4 linked regions of the Saccharomyces cerevisiae S288C genome follow. The gene in region 2 interacts genetically with the main gene of each other region. Each region holds a gene or a part of one and is shown on either strand. Other genes may lie near its edges. The genes, in order: FAR11, SSO2, STR2 and FAR8.

Region 1 (7,317 bases), on a different chromosome or scaffold from region 2:
CAAATTCGTTGCTATTTTTCTTATAGTAAGATCTCCGTGGGATTTGAAAATATTTAATTCAATCAAGAATGTATCTCCGCTCAATTCTTCAAGGTGTTCTGTAAACCTACAGTATATTCGAAGCCTTATTATATTTTCATATATTTCACGATATAACGATTTCAATGACACTACTGTCCCTGAAGAGACCAGATTGTTCACAAATGCTGTGTAGTTTTGTAATTCTTCTGAAATTTCTATAATCAATGCTTTTTTCATTGGAGATATATTCAACATCCTAAACTTCTCCACTTTATAACCCAAACTTTGATATAATAAACCCGCTTCAAATATTAAATGTAAAAGTCCACTCTCAAAATTGGGTATCTTAGACGGAATTTGTATTTGCTCATGATCAAACGGAAATAGTGCCGATGTCGTAGCTAATAATGTATATGATACGTATTTTAGGATATCTTCCTCGGGTATAGTGTTCACATAATAAGGATTTGACAACTGTCTCAAAGTAACAGAACTGTAGGTTGAAGAGGGAACGTAACGATTAGGCGAAGATACCATGGACCTTCTTTCAGAAAATCGGTCCATGTTTTCAAATGAAGCTTCTGTATATATACTTGGAGCCCGCACTGGGCTAAGTAAATGTTCATGGTTAGCAAGGTTCTCCATATTGAGCCCAGATGATTTTTGGACAATTTTTGCTCTGTAATTTGATGGAAGCAAAGATTGAAAGACAGAGAGGTACTTTACCATATCATCGGTGTTCTGGATTCCAAATAAAGCATCGAGAAATTTCTCAATTTTATGCCACATAATTGTTGTTTCAGGCGAATCTAGTGATTGTAATTTGTAAAAATCAATTAAAGGGCCTAATTGAGTTGCCGATTTGGTGGATGATCGCAGTAAATTGACTACATCAGATACAAATGTCTGCAAATGACTCTGCGACAATAATTGAGGAGCCAATGCCTCTATTATACCAAAAAGAGTGGGCTCTAGTTCCATATTGATTTTTCAGCTACAACTGAAATAGACTGTAATATATATTATGGTTATGCTTAGTATTCTGGCTCTTCTATTTCTTATATGCAGATGAAGCCATCAAATGAGTATATTTGTTTGTTTTGTTTAGTTTTGTTTACAAACGCGACGCATCAAAAATCGTTACCCGTATATATTATGATAATAGAAATCCAACAACGGTTGTCCTAGTATCCCACTTGTGATATGAAGATCCAATCATCACCATTGCGCGATCAAATAAACACTATTTAAGGGGTTTTCATGCTCCTCCATTGAAAACTATATAAACATAGGGAGGGATAGGAGATTGTTAATGACAATAACATCGCGCCCCGAGCCTCGGTATCCGTAAGTAGAGATTTAAATATTCAAATACTCGGATTCCTTGTTTAACAGATCTTGGCTGGAACTATTACGGTGTCCATATCCAAGGTCCTCCATAGATATTTCATAGTGTTGAAAATTGTAAAATTGAAGCAAGGCCCGGAGTGCAATTTCTTGACCACAAGCATCGCTCAACTCTCCTGATATATCCTTCCCTGTTACCCAATTATCAGTTAACTCCAGCTTTTCATAAAGGTAAACCCCCGATATCAATTCCATATGCTCGGATTTCCACCTCTTGTTTTTGAATGGTGTGAGTTCTCTTGTTATTTTCAATATTGGATGATACATGTCAAGGTTGAAGAGCCGATAATAGCGTTTAAATAGAATGCCGATGGAGAGGGGCAGCTCCTTTAACCTTTGTGTTTTATTCCCTGTGACTTTTCTCAAGATTCTTAACAGATATGCAAACGAAGGCATAATCTCCGTGTCGACCTCTCCTGAGTCATCTACTGAATAGGATTCACGATAAGACTCGTTAGAGAGAGAACACTCCTTCCAAAATGAATTCGGGGTTTGTACATATTTATTGAAAACCCTCTCTGGATAAACCTCAGAATATTTGCTTAAAATAGATGCGCATGTGTTGATGTATCGCGAATCGTGAATAACTACCGCCAAGTGTTCAAATTTCAAAATATGGCTTAACTTAAACCACTTCAATAACGCATGTAATATGCCCGCTGCTGACTTTAGGGACAATTCCTTAGCTCTCACGATCTCCAATTGGGGTGTCAGCATATTTAGAAGATTTTTATCGGAGACTTCACTTTTCCTATGAAAGTTATTTGTCAAGCTTGATTCCATTGTTTGCAGTAAGACAAAAACAAGAGAGTTAAAGCTCGAAAGGCAGCTCTTATAATATTTGTCAATTCGCTGCATAATGCAAATCGCACTTTTTTCCTCTTTTGAAGAGTTTGCATCATGATTAAGCGCGGCATAATCATATGGCTCATTTTCTAATTGCTGTTTCCAACCACGTTCAGTTATCATGAATAAGTCCCTTTCGTACCAAAGTTGTTTTGTACTCAGCTTAATTTCTAAACTCTCGCTTAATATTCTCGCTGCCTCTTCGGTACTGAATGGAATAACTATATCGTTATCAGGTTTTCTCTCTATATTTAAATCTATCCTATCTTCCAGAGTGTCATCTTCAGATCCTTCATTATCAGATGGATACAAACACGGATATGCCATGTTTGTTTGGAAAGATTTACGAGGTCTAGGACCTTCACCTAAATGCATTAATTGTGGAGAGCTTGGCGGTGAAGGAGCAGGTGTAGCAATATGTTTTTCAGGAACAATGAGCGCCATATTTAGAGGATTCTTTGATTTTGGACGAGGAATTTCCAGAAACTGGGAAAGAGATTCTGATTTGTCAACATCTTTAGGTAAGCCAGAACTGGGCATATTGTAATCAGGAAAACGGGAAGTAATGTCCTCCCTGAATGCTTGATAATGTAATGGGGAGATAGAAAGCTTTTCTGGATGCTTTGATGGATATGTTAAGCCATGGAGATTATAAATAGATGATTTGGTCTGTTTGTAGACAGAACTGTCACCAAATTGTAATACAATAAGCTTGAAGAGCAAAGAAATCATATTTCTTATGCGCATAGCTAATCTGCTATTCCACCTCCAATTTTCAATATACTTTGTTAAAAATTCCAACAAATCTGTTTTCTCAAAAGCGTCGATAACAACATTTACTGCTTCCGGATTTTCTCCTCTACCTTCTATACAAATACTGCATATGAAGTATAGGATTGTTGACGAATGAAATAGCAAAATTGTTTGTTTCTTTAAATTTCTGTTGTCATCCCTACAACTTATTGCAATCTTCTTGAAGGCATGAACAATTTCTTGAATATGAGGAACAAGCATTAAATTGTTGCGTCGTATAATCTTTGTATGCTCACTTTTGCTATTCGTAAACGCAAAGCATCCCATAGAAATATATGATAATGCGAGTAAATTAGATGCTAAAGAATTGGGGATGTCTTCAATTAAACATTCAACTACGCTCGCAGCATAGTTTTCATCATCAAAGAATAATTGTGGTTGCGTAATTTTCTGTTTAAACAGAGTCTGTGTCTGTCCAAAATGCATATAATCAGAGCTGCAAAACCATTCCGACAGTTCATCTTCCAAAGAATAAAACATCTTCAATTCCCAGTCCACTGCTCTTTGTAAAGCATAAGGTGCACTTGATCTTTCCTCAAGTGAAGCTGCGCACTGGTCAAGTGATTTCTGAAATTCTTTATCTACCGGCATATTATAATCAACTTCGCCCTTTTCATTGATAGGAACATGCTTGCCATCAGAAACCTTATTCAAATCAAAGCCATCCAGTTCATCTACATTAGCAAATGATTCATCCTCATTCTCCTCTTCAGCTTCTTCAGCATCGTCTTGAAATTCAACGGCGTTATCAGTATTATTATCTTTCTCATTATTTCTATCCTTATTAACGCCATCATCACTGAACTTAAAATTATCATTTTCATCACTACTATCTTGCTGTATATCTATGGTACGAATATCTCCCTCAAGACCTGATCTTGCCTTGAAGGTTAAGGCACTGATATTTCCATCTGATTTATTTCTTTTATCGGCATGAAAACTGTTTCTTCCCATGTTCAGTTTACCGCGCAACATGTTGTCCAAATCTTTTAGCAGTTCTTCGTTGCTCAATGTTCCGACCTGTGGTTCTTTATGTGAAGTGACTTCATCTTTGTACTTTAGATTGCCTTTGAAACTAGAGTTTCTCTTAAGATCTTCTAAAGACACAGACCTTATAATGGGGCCTTTGGAATGAGATCTTCCACTAGCATTCATTTTAGCGAGGCTTATAAATGAAAATTTGTCACTTAACCTTCTTCTTCGGCTATAAATACTAATAAAATTTCTCTACAATGCCTTTCAACCTACTCCTTGGTTCTCATATATTTCTTCCTGTTTCTAGAATGGCGTTTTGATTCATATAATTGACCGCTCCAAAAAATACCTGCCAGTAAATTAAAGTACCATACAAGAATATTGAAGAAAAGGAAAAGAATACATAATATAGAAAAAAGCCTACCAAAACAAACCAATTCACAATAAATATAACACTTTTAACTAAGTTTAACGAATGAATGGATTTGACGAAATGCATAAACCTATATAATTTCCCATTCCAATTTCAGTGCCTGAAATAATTTCAAGCCGTGAGTGCTGAGCTCCCCAAAACCGTCCAGCTCTTGCCAGCTTATGGTTGTCCCAAGCATTTCGTCTCTCTTTAACCTCTCTACTTGAAAGTAATCTGGCGAAGAATCGTCTTTAATTATGTGCATCAAAGTCTCAAGGTATATATTCAGCCAACAGCTGGCGCATGAAGTCCAAGATATTATGCTACTGGCGGCTTTGGACTTGCTGGTCCCCAGGGTAAATTCTATACGACAATCATTTTCCAGTGTTAAGTAGTCCCTACCAAAAATGAAGGTCATATTACCACCGCATTCATGCGCCATGATATCTGAATATACTACTTTTCGGGTTAGGAGGGCATTTCTATCATCGTTGTAGTGTTGAATCTTAGTAGTTACAATAGCAGACTCGGAAGTGATTAAGCTTGATGGGCGGAGGAACGTCATTTTAGCAAGCCTGAATTTAAATTTGAATTTTACCGCCTCATTAGAAATTCCTTCTTGGGCTGCTTTTTCATGGGTAATAAAAAACTCATGGTACCTTAAGTATCTTAATTGAGAGGGTATGGTGACGCCATTCGTCATACCATACTTGAATCTAGCCTGCATGAATATCAATCTTGCTTCTCCAAGAGGACACTGCAAGTATTTCATGAGGTATGCTACTGTTATCATACCAGATCGGCCTTTCCCCATTCGACAATGTAAAACAGCCACTCTATTCTTCGAAACGGACAGGTAATTTTCTATACCATCTACAATCTCTTCCAGCAGTTCAAATGGCGGTGGAAAATGATCTAGCCAACCGATCCTTTCACAAATTACATTATTGGTTTCTTCTTCGACCAAGGTCCTTGTTTCGAGATCAATGGGTGATATTGGTATCTTTCCATCATTAATCAGCGTCGAACGTAATTCTTGAATTTCAAAATCTTTGCTCTCAAACTTGGCAGCGATACCAATAAGATCATTATCTTTATAATCGCTGTCTTCTTTCTCACCTCTAAAATTAAAAATTCTAAAATTTCCCTTGCCATGGTACACTGTTAGAAACAATATTAAGTCATCCAAGCTATTCCTATAAAGCAGTTTTGGATACGTGTTTACCGGGTATGAGCAGACTATTAGATTAACTAAAATATATGATATATCTAATCTCAAACCTATATCGTTTTTAGTTTTTTTCATTGGTAAAGACAATATTTTCTTCATCAAGTTGACTGGTTTCCATTTAAGGAAGCCTTTTTCCATTTCTAATTCACTCCCCTCCTCTCTCATTTACACCAAAAAAATAATTTCAAAAATCGGGATGGTGTTATCAATATTGTGGTTCTGAAATTGTCTTATTTAAGTTATCTATCGAGGTACACATTCTTATTTTTATTGTTTTTACTTTTTTTTTTTTATACTTCTCATCGATTTTGTGGCGCTTTCCTAATCCTTACAAAGCTTTAGAATCTCTTGGCACACCCAGCTTAAAGGTTTCGCAATTGGAGTGTCATCATCATTTATGAACTCTTTTATATTCTTTGACTTCCTTGGGTCTAGTAAACCTTCTACGTCTCCATTAACAAATAACTGCGCATGATTTGCACGATAAGATTCATACACAAATTCGTCGAAATAATACGGCGGATCCACCCAGAAAGAATCCAAAGTCTGGTATCCTTTTCTGGAAGCCCTCCTTTTTTTTAGTACTTCATAGGGAGCACGCACTAATATCTTCAAATCAAATTTTTTTGATATTCCAGTATTATTGAAAATCATAAACCCATCTACAATTACAACTTCATATTTGTCGTCATTAATAGAGTCATACTTAGCCTTTAACTCGTCCCAAACTTGTCTATCAATGTGGAACTTTGTAAAGGGATCATCTACGTTGTTATTGTGTATAAGTTTGGTGGCTATTTTACCAGTTTGTTTGATCACATCTAATTCTTTACCGAAAAGTTTAAAATCAAGAGCTTCTGGCGAATCCCAATTTTGAATGTTATATTTAGCATCTACTGGCACTTCATTATCATGTTTGTAAAAGTCATCTTCATGAATTAATGTAGCCTTCGTGAATAAACTTGCTGTAAGTTTCGCAATTGTCGTCTTACCACTGGAGGAGCATCCACTCAATGCAACTAATATCACTTTTTTCGAAGTCATATTTTGAGGTTCTACTCTAGCTCACACTTCGATAGCTTTTGCACGCTATTTTTTCCCTTACTCTGATAAACTATCGGAACAGCCTAAAATGCAAGTTGGTTTTGTTTCTCAGACCAACTGCCGTTCCTTTCCTGCGTGTATTGTTTTTCTGTTTCAAATGAGTCAACGGCAACGATCGTTCAATGCAAATCTTCGAGTATTTAAAAGCAAATGTAAGAAAATTTATATAGGTTAAAGTTATTGTTTACATTTTGACTCCATCTTCTTATCTGACGATAACTTCAGAAATCTTTTTATGTCAGATATATACTCAGGTGCTAATGCGAATTGCCCGAATAGTGAAGCATTTGCATGTCATACAACATCTCGCTGATTTACCAAATAACAAGATTTCCTATTGCATAAAAATTGATCTTGTGCAATCCTTCCTATATTGTTGTTTCCTATAGTCCAGTTCTATTACTGAAACTTATCGATTAAAGTGCATGTGAAAATTCGCGGGAAGTGACGTTTTTTTTTTTTTTTCTTTGGCGTTCTGCCAATATGAAAGATTAGATAGCAAAAGGTT
Region 2 (5,067 bases):
AACGGCAAGCGATATCAAAATATCTGCATAATAACGGCAATCAACGCGCACGCGAATGGCCAAGAGGGTACAATAGCAGCAATGATGCGGCTTGTGAAATGGAGGAGTGGGTGCGGTAGAGCTTATTTTTTTGCGTTTGGTGAAGCGTCCTTGGCCTGGTCAAAACTTTGCACCTTAGACGGCGATGCTGGAGTGTCACTGCTATCTGGAGGGAGCTCTACAATGTTGTGGTTTTGTATGGGAGTGTGGTTCAGGAAGAGTGGTTGCATATAGCTGTATATTGGTAGTGGAGGAGGCTGATGCGGCAATGGTATGGGAGCAGATGGCATAGGATGAGGGAAGTATGGTGGTGCGTAAAGAGATATAGTGTCTTGTGGGCTAGCAGGAGTTGATATGGGCAGATTGTATGGAACAGGCGCGGGCTGGACAACAATTCCATATGGGCGTAATTGCGGGAACATTCTTGTTGCGTTAGGGTCGTTCGCAGTGCTATTTGCGGACTGCTGCAGTCTACGTAAGGACATCAAATCAACGTCCGAATGAACAGAAGATTGATGTTGTCTTAAGTTATCGATTCTACTGAAGAATTTAAGGCAGATATTGCATTGGAATGGTTTCTCCCCTGTGTGTTTCCTGATATGTCTAGCCAAATGTTCGGTCCTATTGAAACTCATGTTACAATCAGGATATCCCACGCATCTATAATTTCTCTTGACAGAAGCGTTGTCTTTGTTCCTTTTCGGTTGTTTTCCTCTCATGTTTAACCAGTGTCATGCTAATTGTCCTGGACTATAGACGTGAGTGGGGAGGAATAGTGCTATGAAGTCGCAATTGAATCAAGAATACACGAAAGAAAGAGAAGGAGGCGTCTGTTCATATACACACAAACAATAGTTGAAATCAAGAAGATACAATGAAAGAAAAGAGAAGGAAAATAATGTTATAAACGATTGAAGGGATCCGCTGAGGAATGAAAAAAAAAAATAAGAAAGTAAGAGAAGGGAAAAAAAAAAGAAAAAAAGAAAAAAAGAAAAAAAGAAAAAAAGAGGGAATGATCGAAGATAAAAATTCTCAGAAATTTGAGAAGAAGGAAAAACTCTACTTAAATAAAGATAAACTTTTCATGGCTTGAGAGTCCGGCATCCACGTAACTTAATGGTCCGTGCGGTAACATGGCAGGGTGTGCAGGACCCTATGGCTCGAGAAGTTGCTACCGGTGTTTAATTTTTTTTTTATCTTAATATTAGGAAGAGAAAAAGCATCAGTTACGAGACTCCTGAAGGAGCGCCGGAAAGTTTCTTTTTTTTTTTTTTTTTTTTAATTTTTTTTGTGTGGGGAAAGACCGACTACCAGTAATACTTTAAAGATATTATTAAAAGAAATCCCGAAAAAAGAAAGACCATGAGAAAACCGAGTGCGTTTCATGCATGTAACATAATATTTCTTCCCCTCGTTAAGTGTGCATCAGCAACCATAATGCTGAATTAACCGCAAAGGTTACCATAAAGGATCGCATATAAACAAAACTCGCCCTTTCTCCTGCATCCCTTACCGAAAAGGAAAGTTTATATACACTTAAAGGAAAGTGCTACTGTAGGTCGTCAGGCCGTTGATGTACTGCTCTTCGAGACAACTATTGTACCTTAACTGTAAGAATTTGCTCAAGCCCTCAAAAAACACAACGTGCGGGTAACGACAACGAAGTGGGCGCAAGACAAAGATGGAATATCCTATCCGATGGGCACTATAAAAGGCGAAGGGAAAATTAGTTTTTTTTCTTGTCAAGCATTTGCCGAGCGCTTCAATGTTGATTGGTCTAGAAGTAACAATCAAGACAGATAAAGTCTAGTACGTGTGCAGGTTAATGCGCAAGTGAGAAGTGTAGATATTGTAGTTGTGATATTTACTATTCTAACTTGGCGCTATTAACGCTTTCACAACCCAAAAACATCAAGAAAAGCCTTTCAATAAATTGCTCTTCTCTTGGCGAAAGAAAGCGGGGGGCAAAAAGAATCACGGGACTTATGTTTCGGGATCTCTTTGTTTCTTCTTTTTTTCCCGGAGAATAATTTTTTAGGACCAATTACCGTAGTTGCGACTACAACAATTGTTGTTCATACCCCCACGATTTACTTTTTGAAAACTAGTTTTTGGAATAATAATGTTGTAAAATTTCCCTTTTTCCACCCCGATTTGTATTTTATTTTTCGTTACAAAATTGGGACTAATATTAAGGGCGACAGTTTTTCTTAAAAGTAAGATTTTTTACTTAAAAATTCTTGTTCTTAACGAAATTACATACGTATTAAAATTATTTATTAGATAGTCGGTATTGTCTTTTTGTGAAAAAAAAAAATTATAATACTAATTGTTAAAAAGGCAGGTATGAGGAGGGTATAGTAGGAAAGAGAAAAGACGTTACAATTTTTAGGTTTTCGGTTTTAATAGAAATTGTTTGATTACACATAATAGGAATTGGGGGGCTGGCGGGAGGGAGGCGCATGTGCTCTATTACTTTCTTGTTTCCACAACGGATGGAACAACCACAACGACAACAACAATAGCAAAGATAATAAAGCAGATGATCAAACATCTTATTTTGTTTTTTCTTGCTTTTCTGGCACTCTTAACGGCCTTGTTGGTGTGACCCACACCTTGCTCTACATCTTGCTGAGCGTCTTCGACGTTTTTGTCAATGACATCCACATTTTCTTGTTGTTCGATGACCAACTCTTCCATGTCATTGAACAATTGGGTAAGTTCAGCCATTGTTTTTTCCAACTTCAACAACTCTTGATGTCTAGCCTGTACTTCGGCCAATGCTGTCTTGGCCTCACCACGTCTATTGGCGTTTAGCAACGCTTGGGAAAAGATCTGCTGGCCATTGACATCGTTGATGGCGGCTTCCACTTCTTCGTCAGTGGCTTCCGGTTGGATAATTGTGTACTGTCTCTTCGCCTGCTCTTTGCTTTCTTCTTTGTAGTTAGAATCGATAATTCTGTAGTCTTGAATTAATTTTAAGAATTTCTGTCTGCAATTTTCAGCTTGTGCCTGTTTATTAGAGTCGTGCAATCCGTCTCTCTGGGCATCTTTGATATCCGCTTTCAATTGATACTGCAAATCTGTGGCCTGAGAGATGTAATCGTCCAAAGAACGTCTCAATTCCATCTCCTGTTCCTCACTCACTTGAGTAAGTAGGTCTTTGTGTTGCGCATCAATTTGGTTGATAATGTTTTCGTACCTGGACAAGTTAGCATTTATTGAGTTGATCTTGTTCATAAAAGCTACGAAATCGTCGCTACCATCTGAGTGACCAGTAGGAGCATTGTTCAAGTCCTCTTGCATTTCATAGTTTTCAGCGTACGGATTGTTATTCTCATAAGGATTAGCGTTGCTCATTGCTGCAATATTTGTGCGTGTATGGGCAGTTTTCAAATGTAAAGTATTACAATTCCACACTATTCCAGCTCTCTTATGGGTATATTAAACGATTTAACCTGCCAACAGCATTTATTTGTCATTTTACTTGCTTTTTTCATCCATCCATTGAAACTAAAAACGTCAAAAAAGGCCATTTCGTAAACAACGGCCGGGTGATAAGCACGTCGTTTAGGGGGGACCCTTTGCTGCCGCTTGGTACCCGGCTCGTAAGACATAAAGATGCCACATATTTACTTTTAGCTGGCTTCTTTATTCACACAGGCTACTCATAAGAGCTTCAGTAGACGCGCATCTGTCGGTTCTTCGTCAATCTATTTCCGCACATACTATTACGTACGATGGCTATTAAACCAACCAAAAGTTTTCAGAATTGTCTAGAAGCTGAAGTGCCTGGTTATAACGACTGTCCGACAGTTTTGTTTTCTATCGACCCTAATAGCGGACCTAGATCCAAATCTAAACAAAGAACGAAATCGAAAAGATGTGTTAGCGGCAGACTTGCCACAGAAGTGTTAGATCTTTATGGGAACACTAAAACAGCTACTACGCCGCCACCAGTTTTGAGGAGGCCATCTGTAACTGCTGCTCAACAAGAATCTGCCTGTGAAGGTGTGCTCGTAAAAGACCAAGGCGATAGACAGCTCCAGCCGATATTATGCAGTAAAGAAGAATTAGTGGCTAAGATCAACGACCTCTGTGTGTGTGGCTCGAAGCTCTCTTCGAAGGAGTTGGAATTTTACAAGAAAAAATTAGATTCAAACATTACCAAGATTTTACAAAACGAGCACACCAAAACAGTACTATCCCAGATTTTCAATGAAAAAGACAAAAATATGGCCGTGAAAACCATTAAACATTGGATGGTTACTGACACAACAATCTCAAATTGGTGTCCCGCATTCTTAAAAATTTTTGAAAATGCGATGCCTAATTAATCAATAATATTATTATATTTATAAATAGAAGTACACTACGCAGAACATTTTATTTTCTAAAAAAAAAAAGAATTCCTATTGAATAATTAAAAATCAAGGTTACCCGCAGTCTGCTTGAGAAATTTAATAAAAAACATGTAATCATCTCATCGCGTCGAACAGCATATAGCAATAAGGGCTCATCACCGCCTCATGTTTCTTCTTGTCATATCAGATCAAGAAAAACAAAAGGTTGGAAAATGAATGAGGATAAAGAGCAAAAGATCAACATACACGATATATTGAATACAAGACCGAAGCTCACCAAAAAGACAGCCCTAGATGTTTTCTTCGAAGATCTGGATGACAATGTAATTACTCCCATAAACGAATATGTTCTTGATTCAGGCTCATCATCATCCTCTTCCATTTATCAGGCGTTGAAGTGCTCAAATAACAATGAGTTTGTTGCAGTACTTTTACAGAAATTCCAGAATTTGCACATTCACGTACTAGAACAGCAACGGAGGCTCATCGAAAGTAAAAGTGACTTATTGCCTATCTCATTGCATGATATGAAATACGTAGACGAACTGATAAATCTTTTGATTATTCATGGTATAGATGCTAATTTGTCTCCTACGATGAAAATTCCATTCGATTCGAAAAGAATAAATACTTTCAAGAAGGGCCAAAAAAGCGCAGAATATGA
Region 3 (6,017 bases), on a different chromosome or scaffold from region 2:
TCGGGCTTCATGAATAGAAAGGCCCTCAGTAGAGCCTGATGCTAACAATCCCCCCATAAAGCACACGAGGTGGTCCATCTTAGGAGAAAGTTGTCCATGTAGACCTTGTTCTCTTTCCCCAATGTACCACAGAGAAGAGGGTTTGGATTGTGCTAATAAATGCTTTTTCATACCTTCCATGGATTTTCTGTACAGATCATAATAAAGTGTTTCGTGCGTCAATAAATATTGTTTTAGTAAATACTCATAAAAAGAATCACCTCTTGATCCGAACCGGATAGTCGAAGCACCAAACTTCCCAGTATCTGGAAATGTATAAATTGGAACCAATCCATCGTAGGTATTTAGAAGATCGTTATTTTTGTATAATGGCTCGTAAACACGCTCCACCAGCTCCCAATAAGTACGATTTCCTGTCAAATACGCCAGATATTTGAATTCCATTTGTAGCGTAGTGAATTCTGCGGTAGAAGATGCCCCCCCATCTGCATGGTTCTTAACCGCTTGGCCACTATGAAGGTTTATACTTGAGTATGGAATTCCGGTCTGAGTGGATAAGAACGCCAAAGCAAGCCTATCCCCCAAATCTATTGCTTTGTTCAAGTAGACAGTCTTATTACCTACTTCTAAAACATCAGATAGATGATATGCGGATAATAAACCACCTAGCATTCTAATAGTAGTTTCAAAAACATTCACTTCGGCATCAATATCAAAATCCAAAACATCGTTTATCCAATGCTCCGATCTCTGAATTTCTGCCTCGAACTCACTTTTGTATAGTGTGGAGGAGTTATACATTAACATCAAGGTATCCACTGAATCTACGATAATCCAGCCTAACGGCTGGTTGCCACGAGGCATATTATGGGAAGTGTGCTCAATAGGTCCATACACATCGTATCCCCAGCCATGCTTGGAATAGTCTCTCCACGATTCCAAGAACATGCTTTCAATCCGATCTCTCATTTCTCCGGCCCCCGGTGACTTTCTCTCAAAGTGTTCGTACCATGGCACATAGTATATAGCTGCTATGATAGCAACAATGGTTGCAATTGAAATACCGACAGAGTTCTTCATAGAATCCTTTTTCAATGTTTAACCTTTTCCTCTTTTACTACCTTTTTCTGTCGTCTTTCGTTTCTTGGCAAAGCACATTTCTTTCATTCTTTCGTTTGGCGAAACTGAAAATTCCAAATAATTGCTCTTCCACAGAAAATGCGTTACAACCAAAGTGAATTTGTAAAAGTTTAACCCCACATTTTGCTACAGTCTTATTTAAAAATAGCAGTATTCATATTAAAATATCTTGCGGTTTAAGAACTCAATTAACTTCAATGATTGCCAGTGTTGTTCAGGTAAAACCCTTCAAACCTAGTAAATATGACTTATCTTCATGCGTGGATGTAAAAAACAAAAATCATGATAGCGCCTCTGCACTTCACAATATCTCGGTCTAAAAATTAGTCATATATTTTGGATATATATATATATATATACCCATATATATAACGATAGTAGAATGACGCTCATGTGCCGATTCGGGACCTACATAAACAAGAGAGAGAAGAGGAACAGAAGAAAAAATGATATCTAGAACCATTGGTGAATCTATTCCGCCCAACACAAAACATGCTGTTTCCGTGTGTTTGCCCACATGGGAAGCTACAGTAGGCTATGAAGAGGGTGAAAGCAGTATAATTAACTCGCTTACTACCGGATATCCAAGATTTTTCATACACAAGTCAATAAAGAAATTATGTGAAATTTTATCCGCTAAGTACTCCATGGAAGATGAAGCTTGTCTTTGCTTCCCCTCTTACAAGGTTGCCAATAGGTGCAGAGAGTTTATCAAAGTGAAAACGGGTCTTTCTACCAAAGTACGCATCTTACAACTATGTACACCTAAACCTATGAACCAAGAGGAAAAGCTCTGGAGAAGGGAATGTAAAATCACGGTGGTGTTTGTAGACCAGGAAATATTCCCCGTGATGAAGCAGTATTGGCAACATTCTGGTGAGATTGTATCTAGCAGAATGGCGGAGTATATTTTACATGAATTACAAGTCAAGGATAATCTTAAGAAGATGGAAACAGTGGATAACGGTAAAAAATTTATGACCGAAGATGAAAACAGAGTGAACGAAGAATATATAGAAACGAGATTTGGGAGAAATTTAAATTTTCTTGCTGCTGATAAAGCCAAATATCTAATACGAAAGAGGATTGCCACAAAAGTTGTTGAAAAAATTGACTCTGAAGGTCTATCGGACCTATTCTCTTTTGAACACTATAACGAGAGCAACGGTCCATTCAATGTTGGCAGTGGAGAGGCTCTGGATGATGATCAGTTGAATTCGGACATACCTGCCGAAACAATTACTTCTATGGGAGAAAGTGGCTCAAACAGTACTTTTGAAAACACAGCTACCGATGACTTGAAGTTTCATGTCAACCCTAATACGGATGTTTACTTATTTCCAAGTGGAATGGCGTCCATTTTCACTGCCCACAGGCTGCTTTTAAACTTCGATGCCAAGCGCTTATCAAGGTCTTCTAGTAGACAAGATAAGTTGATTGGATATGGACCTCCGTTCAAGAAGACCGTCATGTTTGGATTCCCATATACAGATACTCTGAGCATTCTTCGGAAGTTCAATCACACACATTTCTTGGGACAGGGAGATTCAACGTCAATGAACGCTCTGAAAAATATTTTACATTCTGGTGAGCAAATACTGGCGGTATTTATAGAAGCTCCATCGAACCCACTGTTGAAAATGGGAGATTTACAAGAACTGAAAAGGCTATCAGACTTGTATTCATTTTACATAGTGGTCGATGAAACTGTGGGTGGCTTTGTCAATATAGATGTATTACCGTATGCCGATATTGTTTGTAGTTCGCTAACGAAAATCTTCAGCGGCGACTCGAACGTTATTGCAGGATCCTTAGTACTAAATCCTAGAGGAAAGATTTATGAGTTTGCTAGAAAATTTATGAAGACTGAAGACGGATATGAAGATTGCCTATGGTGCGAAGATGCGTTATGCCTGGAAAGAAATTCGAGAGACTTCGTGGAACGTACAATCAAGGTGAATACAAACACTGATATATTGTTAAAAAGGGTGTTATTGCCTCAGGTGGGAAAATTGTTCAAGAAAATATATTACCCCAGTTTAACATCAGAGGATACCAAGCGGAATTATGACAGCGTTATGTCTACAAAAGATGGTGGGTATGGAGGTTTATTTTCACTAACTTTTTTCAATATTGAAGAGGCAAAGAAGTTTTTCAATAATCTGGAATTGTGCAAAGGACCTTCTCTCGGTACGAATTTCACTTTGGCGTGTCCATATGCTATTATTGCCCACTACCAGGAATTAGACGAGGTAGCTCAATATGGTGTCGAAACAAATCTTGTAAGAGTGAGCGTCGGTTTGGAAAATAGCGACGTTTTATGCAATGTTTTTCAGCGTGCCATTGAGAAAGCTTTAGGGGAATAAAGCCAAAATGTTTATATGTATTAGAAAACTCTGTAGAAAATTTTAATGCTGATTGTCCGGACACGACAAACAGCGAAATAAATACTAGCAGTTAGTACATCATCGCAAAAATGATGAAGAATGTATAAGTAAATGAAAAAGGAAAAGAAAGCAGAAAAATCGAGCTAGTAAAACTTGACCCTCCTCGTCAAAGATAACATGAATGAAGATCTATTCTACGATAGATTACATCAGCGGTGCCCTGGAAAATACTTGCTAGAAGAGTTGGAAACAAGCAAATCTAACGATGTCCTGCATGCATCGAGATTTGTTTGTGAGATGGAACTTGTGCAAAAGACGAATGCATATTATTGCAAAACCATAGTCAAGATGCTCTTAGACCACGAATGGATTTTCGCGAAGGCATTCACAATTGTCAACGATGGCGAAGACGAGATAGAGATATATGATTATCTCTATGAGAAGTACATAAAACTATTAAGCACAGGCAAGCCAGACCCGATGATGAAAGACGTCGTGAGGTACAGGTTTGACGAGGACGTAAAGATCAAAATTGAGGAAACACCGAATTTGATCAGTGCGGCCAGTACTACAGGTTTCAGGACATGGGAAGCTGCCTTATACATGGGTGATTTCCTTATTCATAAGCCCTTACAAGAGTTGGCACCGGTACAAGGACAAGACGATGGCAAGAAAAAATTAAATGTTCTTGAGGTCGGCGCTGGCACAGGCATAGTGAGTCTCGTCATTTTACAAAAGTATCACGAGTTCGTAAATAAGATGTACGTCACGGATGGTGATTCGAATCTCGTTGAGACGCAGCTGAAAAGAAATTTTGAATTGAACAATGAAGTGCGTGAGAACGAACCAGACATCAAGTTGCAAAGATTATGGTGGGGCAGCGATAGAGTTCCTGAGGATATAGATTTAGTAGTGGGGGCAGATGTTACGTATGACCCAACTATCCTTCCTGATCTATGCGAGTGTCTGGCCGAATGTCTTGCTTTAGACCGATGCAAACTGTGTCTCCTATCCGCGACAATTAGAAGCGAATCCACTGTCCAACTGTTTTCTCAAGAGTGCAATAAACTCGGGCTAAAATGTACCATAGTCACCAGCACAGAGTACGACGCAAACAACGAGATCCGCGCGATGAAAGCCCTGCAATTCAAACCTTTGATTGCACCCATACGGATCTACAAGATCACGAAACAATAAGATACATGTGCAAGTACAAGTTCAAAAATAAAACATAACTAAAAAAAAAAAGAAAAAAAATATAGTCATCTTCTGACACTCGAGTCTCATTCAGCTAATCAAAACAACTAGCAATCCACTCGAGTTCTTATAAATGACCCGGAAATTGATCTCTCCACATTACGCTTATCACGAATAAGACCGAGTGTTCAAATAAATAGCTCGATCTTCGTACTGTCTAATGCGGTGGATTAGTACTTTAGGACAAAGTTACTTTTTTTCGGAAGGAAACTTCAAAAATAGAATTAACAAATAAGAAGGAAAAGCGAAAAACAAATCTCATTGCCTGTGCTTTCTTTTATACTTTTTTTTTTCGCTCGGAACCTCTTGCTTATACACGGTTTTTTTCCACGGAAACCTCGGTTACCCTTCAATTACTGGAACGTTAGGGCACAATCTAACAAATATATATACTGGCTTACAAGATGTAACAAACTACGAATAGTGGTACGAAGCTTATCACATGCACCATTATCTGTAACTGGGTTGCCGCCAACAGCAGACTCATGGGCTGGTTGAAAAAATCTTGGAAAACAGAGATAAACAGCTCGGCAGATAACATTTCCTGCGACCTTAATGCTGCGTTAGGTGTAATTGTCGCAATTTGCGGCCGGCCATAGTTGTTCGTGCTACAATATATGGAAGAAGCAACTGTTTTTGAATCAACGGTAGTAACGACCTTATATCATCATACACGAAAATACGCACAGACGGGGGTGAACCACTCCAGGGGCAGAGTAGAGTGTACAAGGAAAATTGTGATCTCGCCGCACGGTGCTGCATCGCGGAAATTCTCCGTAGGGCAACGGATAAGGTAACTGCGTATGCGGCATCGACAATAGGTAACTACGCGAGCAACTTCTATTAAGAGAAATAATTTTTGGGAAATGGCCTGTTTCGGATGGAACCGTTCGCATTTGGACGAGGGGCGCCTGCATTATGCATACTAACCGCGGCCGCTCGAATAAATCTGGACAATTTTGTTCCGTGTTGCTGGGCACTTTTCCGTCTGTCTTTCTTTTTCCCGCTTGACCCTGCATATATTAGAAACGAAAACAAAGAAACAAGGACTTCTTGGATTTCCATAGAGTTTTTTTTCTTCGTTAAACATTGCCTCTCTCAACACACGTTTTTCTCGAAGACTCTTGCACCAAAAAGAAACTTTAGGGCGAAGAAGCTAAAAGACATTGGCGATACTAGAATAGATAGGGCAGATAAAGATTTTTTATTAGTGCCGGAGCCAAGTATGTTTGT
Region 4 (5,861 bases), 300 kb from region 2:
TTTTCCACGCTAAAGACATTCCATACATGGTTAGCGATGTTATGTTAAAAGATTTTGATATATTAGTTCATGACCTGAGAGATCGTGAGTTCTTCCCAAGTGGTGAACCCTCGACAAAGGAATCCAGAGCTCTTGATTTATTTGCTGGTGAAATGGAAAAGTTCGTCTCTAGCGGTAAGATAGAATTCCGCGAAGATTCTTTCTGGACCACGGAATTAGATTATTGGAATTTGGACGCAAACGAAACCAAATACCATGGATCCATTTTGCACAAAGATTTGCAAAAATCCAATTTGGTTATTTTTAAGGGTGATCTAAACTATAGAAAATTAACTGGCGACAGAAAATGGCCCCGCACCACTAAATGGGAAACGGCTATCGGACCTCTTGCTACGAATGGTATTACATCATTGAGCTTGAGAACCTGTAAAGCCGATGTACAAGTTGCTTTACCTGAAGGTCTAGACGCGAAATTAAGTCAAGAATGGGAAAAGGAAAATCCTGGCCGTGGTTCTTGGTGGTGTTGTAGCGGTAAATGGGCAGTCATTTGTTTCTGCTCTGGTATACATAAATAAGAATATGATAAGTTCTCTATATAACTTTACTTTATGACTTTCCCTATGAAATGTTCCAAAAAAGCACATAGATTTTTAGTACGTGCCTTTTATTTTATGTACTTCTGATAAAAAAAAGAAAGCTCCTAAGGACAAATTACAATCAATGGCGAAAGAAGAGGAAGAAAGTAATAACGAGGAGAGATCATAAACATGGCGTCAGTAACAGAACAATTCAACGATATTATTAGCTTATACTCAACAAAATTGGAACACACATCTTTGAGGCAAGATTCACCAGAGTACCAGGGATTATTACTTTCCACGATCAAGAAATTATTAAACTTAAAAACAGCAATTTTTGACAGGTTGGCATTGTTCAGTACTAATGAGACCATTGATGATGTGTCTACTGCTTCCATCAAATTTCTAGCAGTTGATTACTATTTAGGATTATTGATATCAAGACGACAGTCGAATGATTCGGATGTTGCTCAAAGGCAGTCTATGAAATTGATTTACCTGAAAAAAAGCGTTGAATCTTTCATTAATTTCCTGACACTATTGCAGGATTATAAGCTTCTAGATCCTTTGGTTGGTGAAAAACTAGGTAACTTCAAGGATCGTTATAACCCTCAGCTTAGCGAATTGTACGCGCAACCAAAAAATAACAAAGATTTATCTGGAGCACAGTTGAAGAGAAAAGAAAAGATTGAGCTATTCCAGCGCAATAAAGAAATTAGCACAAAACTGCACTGCTTGGAGTTGGAATTAAAAAACAACGACGAGGACCACGACCATGATGAATTACTAAGAGAACTATATTTGATGAGGTTACATCACTTTAGTCTTGATACGATTAACAACATTGAACAGAATTTATTTGAATGTGAAATGCTCTCTAATTTCCTCAAAAATTCCGTACATGAAGTCAAATCATCAGGTACTCAGATACGAAAAGAATCGAATGATGATGATTCCACTGGTTTTACCGATAAATTAGAGAATATAAATAAGCCATTGATAGACAAAAAAGGTCAAGTCTTGAGGAACTTCACGCTTGTCGACAAAAGGCAACAACTGCAACAAAAAGTGCGAGGATATGGTCAATATGGACCAACAATGTCGGTGGAGGAATTTTTAGATAAAGAGTTTGAAGAAGGTCGCGTTCTTCAAGGTGGCGAAGAACCAGAGCAAGCACCAGATGAAGAAAACATGGACTGGCAAGATAGAGAAACCTATAAAGCTCGTGAGTGGGACGAGTTCAAGGAAAGTCATGCTAAGGGAAGCGGAAATACCATGAATAGAGGATAGAAAAAAATACCTATATACGTACACATAAGTATCTATTAGACAGATTCATATATTATTTTTTTTTCTGCCTACATCAGTTATATTTTAATCTTGTGCAAAAGGACTTCGTTATTTTTATTCACGGTGATTAACACCGGCGTAGAATCTACAATCAGATTTGAAGAAAATACCACAGGCTCTTTTCTTTCCGAGAAGTTGATGTCTGCTACGACAAATTCGTCGATGGATGGTTTTAGGTTTTCTAAATTCCTAAACTCAAAGTCTCCATTACTATATGATACGGTGATTATGCTGTCGTTCAAATCGAGTTGTATTGGTAGTGTTGACGATGGAGTCAATTGTTCCTTCAGTACAACTTTTTTCTTATCAAAAGAATAAACCAATAATCTCTCATTGCTTAGCTGAATCAGTAGCTTAGAAGTTTTTCTATCCAAAAATAAATGGTAACCTTCTTCTTCTGGCTTACCCGATAATATTGTATCAATCTTCAAATCAATTTTTTGTAGAAGCTTACCCTCGAAATCATATATGGTAAGCTGGTATGGATTTGAAGACAGTAATATTAAGGATTTTTCTGTTATACCCAATATACAATCCAGAATGTTTGTGGAATCATTACTATCATCGTCATCATTATCATGTGTTATTTCATATGTTTCTTTTATGTTAATTGGGACATCCTCAGGAGCCTCTATATTGTCCAATTCCCAGATTCTAATTTGAGATTTATTCTTACTAGCTATCAACAACCATTTATTTTTGAAGTCTATATTAATGATATCACTAGACGAAAACGGCTGTTCTGAGTCTTGTAATAGGTCCACATCTGAGATCAAAGATGCGCTAGAAATAGAGAACAATTTCAAATGGAAACTCTTTTCAATAACAAGGAGTTTGGACGTCGAAACCCAGAAAAATTTCATAATGTCGCTATCTTGCCCTAAAGATATTTTCTTTAAGAGTTTGGAATTCAAGTTTGCGTCCACTTGGTGTATTTCTAACGATTTGGTGTCTGCATCATAAAGTGCCATACAGTCCCCGTAGGAGCTGATAATGTCGACTTTCGACAATTCCGAGTGTATCTTGGATATTGTTTCATTATTTTCACGCTTGTTGGCTGTGCTAAACAAAGATTTCACTTTGGTTGGTGATGGTGACTCTGAAGGACCTTGCTTTGGATTGGGTTTGGTGTCCAAGAGGGCATTATTTAAAATATCCATCCCATTTGTCTTCGCACTGCCCTCTTCCTTGGGAGTATTCACGTTCAGTTTCTCTAAATCGTGCAATTCAGAACCCGCTTCTCTGCTATTTAATGACTCTAACTGATTGACCGTGTTAGGGCCTTTCAACAAATAAATTATTTCCTTCACATTTTCTTGAACAGCTAGCTTAGACTGCAGTAATGAATCAGGCACATGTTTTTCTTCCTTTTCACCTTCAGGAGAAACAGCTTTCGATTGTATTTGATTCAATTGATGCTTCAAATCTCTATTTTCGCCCTCTAGTTCTGCAATTCTTGCTTTCATTTCCGACCTTTCTAGCTCCCAGGTGATTCTATCTCTTTCATTCTTCGTGAACTCCGTTTGCAAGTAGTGCATTACACCAGGTAACGTGTAATGCGGATGAACATGTGCCTGGTTAATAGCCATATTGTTTTCCGGTCTAACTACACGCACTTACTTCTTTTGGGTTTCTTTATTAATGTTGTTGCTTGCTCCTCACATTTAGTCGTTCTAGGTGGCTTTTATCTAAGATTACGCGACGGGGAAGATCGCAAAGTTAAGACCAATAGAGTACTATACCATATCCCAACAAAGAAGCCTAGGGGATGGTGCAGCAGTAAAAACTGAATAGACTATAATAGATCATCCTACGTAAAACCCGAATAGGTTATCTCTTAAACCTTGTTTTCCTGTAAAGTTGTCCCGCGCATGTGAAGACGCAGAGAGTGGAGATCAATCTTAAAACAACTGAAGCAACTAGCACTTTCTTGACATTTAATAAGGAACTATTATCGCGTAAACCAAAAGAAACGCATGTAAAACATCTGCAAGTTACTCCATCATCTGACACCTAGAGACGTACGTATCAGAACGATTTGAGTGGAGGGGTACAAAAAGGGACTCTGTAGATCAAAAACTGTAATATTATCCTTTTTTTTACTTTCTGAGAAGCTATTCGAAAACAAGGAGATAGAACTACAAGCAGTTATGAAGGACCTAAATCCAGAAATGGGGAAATTTGCTACCACTAAAGGCCCTCCTCAAGACAATAGAGGCATGGTTGATATAGCGACACTGCCTAATTTTCCTGCCAACCGTAGTGGGACTCCTCGTGAGGAGATGTATCTGGCGCCCAACAAGATGGAAACTCCAAGGATACTTAATATGAATATGGTACCGGATTATTTGCAAAAAGAGAACTTCTCGCCAGATTTTTCTTCTGCTACCGTATCTGCCAAGTCATCTCCTGTCAACGTTACTCATGATGAGTCGCTTCCTCTGGGAACTATTGAATCGAATAGCACAAAGGATTCTAAATATGCAGTTCAACGGCAACAGCAACAAGTGGTAGATTTCATAGAGAATAATATGCAGCTACTGTCTTCAGAAACACTAAATTTTAGATCAGACATTATGAAAACTTTGGAGCTTCCCATTCCCAAGAGAAGAGATATTAAGGGAAACCATCTATCTAAACTATTATTTGCTAAATCACCTCTAACTATCAACACATATTGCCAATTTTATGACCGTAGAACCAAGCGAATTTGCAATCAAGAAATGATATGGAAAGATAAGAACAGTAGAGAGAAGCATGGTTCTAGAAAGTATCAAAGACATTTGAGTAAAGTTCACGATGTCCAGCTAACACCAAATAATTTTACCGAATTTTTTGATCATAATTCTCCACTTTTCCAGGAATGCTATGACTATCAATCTAGATTGATGCGTGATTTACTTGTTGAACCAGATGCCAAATTCAAAGAGAAGAAAAAGAAGAAAAAAGGGGACGTCAACGGAAATCATCCTGAAACCGGATCGAGCCTCATCAACCACCAGGTCCAACAGCAAAATGTTCGAGAACTTCAATCGAAAATAGCCATGAACGACTTGATAGAGATTCTTATCGATTTAAACATTCCGTTTTCTGTTTTAGACTACCAACCAATGAGAAATTGGCTCATCAAATATTCAATAATTTCAACAGATACTTTGCCGGATGAAGTATACTTCAAAACTGATCCAGGCGTGAATGAACTGGAACACAACAGTAGTAATTTAAACAATAGCAATAGCGGTACTCCTCATAATCATAATCAAAACCAACATACCAATTAATTAAAACTTGCTTTTAATCTGCATACATAAAACTTAGATCAAATAAATAAAAAAAAAAGTAAAACAACCATATATACTATTTCATAAGCAAAAGTAATCAAATTAAACAAAAAAAAGAAAATACAAATATTAAATTTAAATTAAGGCAATAAACATATATTATACACATAAAAAGAATAATTAAAGCGCAGATGAGAACTATCTTAATTATCAAAATTCTGTAGTATCCCACTCAACTGTTCAATATCTTAGCCGCACCATTTCTTCGTTATCTAGGCTCACTAGCAATTATTTTTTCTCTTGATTACTAATTGCATCCTGATCGTCTTCGATCGAAGAACCCTGTGAAAAGCCACTAAATGTATGTTCCAAACTATCAGGGCTAACTCCCAATGATTTATTGTTTCCTGCTTTCTGTGAAACCGAGATTTCTTTTGAATGCTCCGCTGATTTACAATCATTAGCGTCTTCTTTTCCACTTGATTTATTTCCGATCGAAATTTTTTCTTCAGGTTCCTTTGTTTGAACAGCAGAACTAGTTTCGGTAGCTTCTTTTGCGGCAGTACTCACCGGAACCCCATCACCACCTGAATTTTTCGTTTCGGCTCCCACTATCTCTTCCTTCTTTAGTTCATCACCTTCCTCTATTTTT

The links.
Region 1: mutations in SSO2 (region 2) and FAR11 together harm fitness more than expected from each alone (negative genetic interaction), as found in Saccharomyces cerevisiae (2 studies listed by BioGRID).
Region 3: mutations in SSO2 (region 2) and STR2 together harm fitness more than expected from each alone (negative genetic interaction), as found in Saccharomyces cerevisiae (2 studies listed by BioGRID).
Region 4: mutations in SSO2 (region 2) and FAR8 together harm fitness more than expected from each alone (negative genetic interaction), as found in Saccharomyces cerevisiae (2 studies listed by BioGRID).

Annotation. Positions count from the first base shown.
Region 1 is NC_001146.8:380,912-388,228, reverse strand, and holds FAR11 (Far11p), read right to left. Parts: upstream 4,243-7,317; coding exon 1,381-4,242; downstream 1-1,380. Other genes in the region: SPC98 (Spc98p), read right to left, coding at 1-1,002; TEP1 (putative phosphatidylinositol-3,4,5-trisphosphate 3-phosphatase), read right to left, coding at 4,566-5,870; NRK1 (ribosylnicotinamide kinase), read right to left, coding at 6,027-6,749; DGR1 (Dgr1p), read left to right, coding at 6,838-6,984. UniProt on the Saccharomyces cerevisiae protein: Participates in the control of the reentry into the cell cycle following pheromone treatment.
Region 2 is NC_001145.3:624,410-629,476, forward strand, and holds SSO2 (syntaxin), read right to left. Parts: upstream 3,400-5,067; coding exon 2,512-3,399; downstream 1-2,511. Other genes in the region: RGM1 (Rgm1p), read right to left, coding at 123-758; MIN3 (Min3p), read left to right, coding at 1,402-1,488; ADD37 (Add37p), read left to right, coding at 3,780-4,376; RTP1 (Rtp1p), read left to right, coding at 4,616-5,067. UniProt on the Saccharomyces cerevisiae protein: Required for vesicle fusion with the plasma membrane.
Region 3 is NC_001142.9:662,707-668,723, reverse strand, and holds STR2 (cystathionine gamma-synthase), read left to right. Parts: upstream 1-1,586; coding exon 1,587-3,506; downstream 3,507-6,017. Other genes in the region: MNS1 (mannosyl-oligosaccharide 1,2-alpha-mannosidase), read right to left, coding at 1-1,080; EFM3 (protein-lysine N-methyltransferase), read left to right, coding at 3,705-4,724; YJR128W (uncharacterized protein), read right to left, coding at 5,444-5,803; RSF2 (Rsf2p), read left to right, coding at 5,665-6,017. UniProt on the Saccharomyces cerevisiae protein: Catalyzes the formation of L-cystathionine from O-succinyl-L-homoserine (OSHS) and L-cysteine, via a gamma-replacement reaction. In the absence of thiol, catalyzes gamma-elimination to form 2-oxobutanoate, succinate and ammonia.
Region 4 is NC_001145.3:326,715-332,575, forward strand, and holds FAR8 (Far8p), read right to left. Parts: upstream 3,518-5,861; coding exon 1,946-3,517; downstream 1-1,945. Other genes in the region: YMR027W (putative methyltransferase), read left to right, coding at 1-575; TAP42 (Tap42p), read left to right, coding at 768-1,868; RSF1 (Rsf1p), read left to right, coding at 4,079-5,209; EIS1 (Eis1p), read right to left, coding at 5,498-5,861. UniProt on the Saccharomyces cerevisiae protein: Participates in the control of the reentry into the cell cycle following pheromone treatment.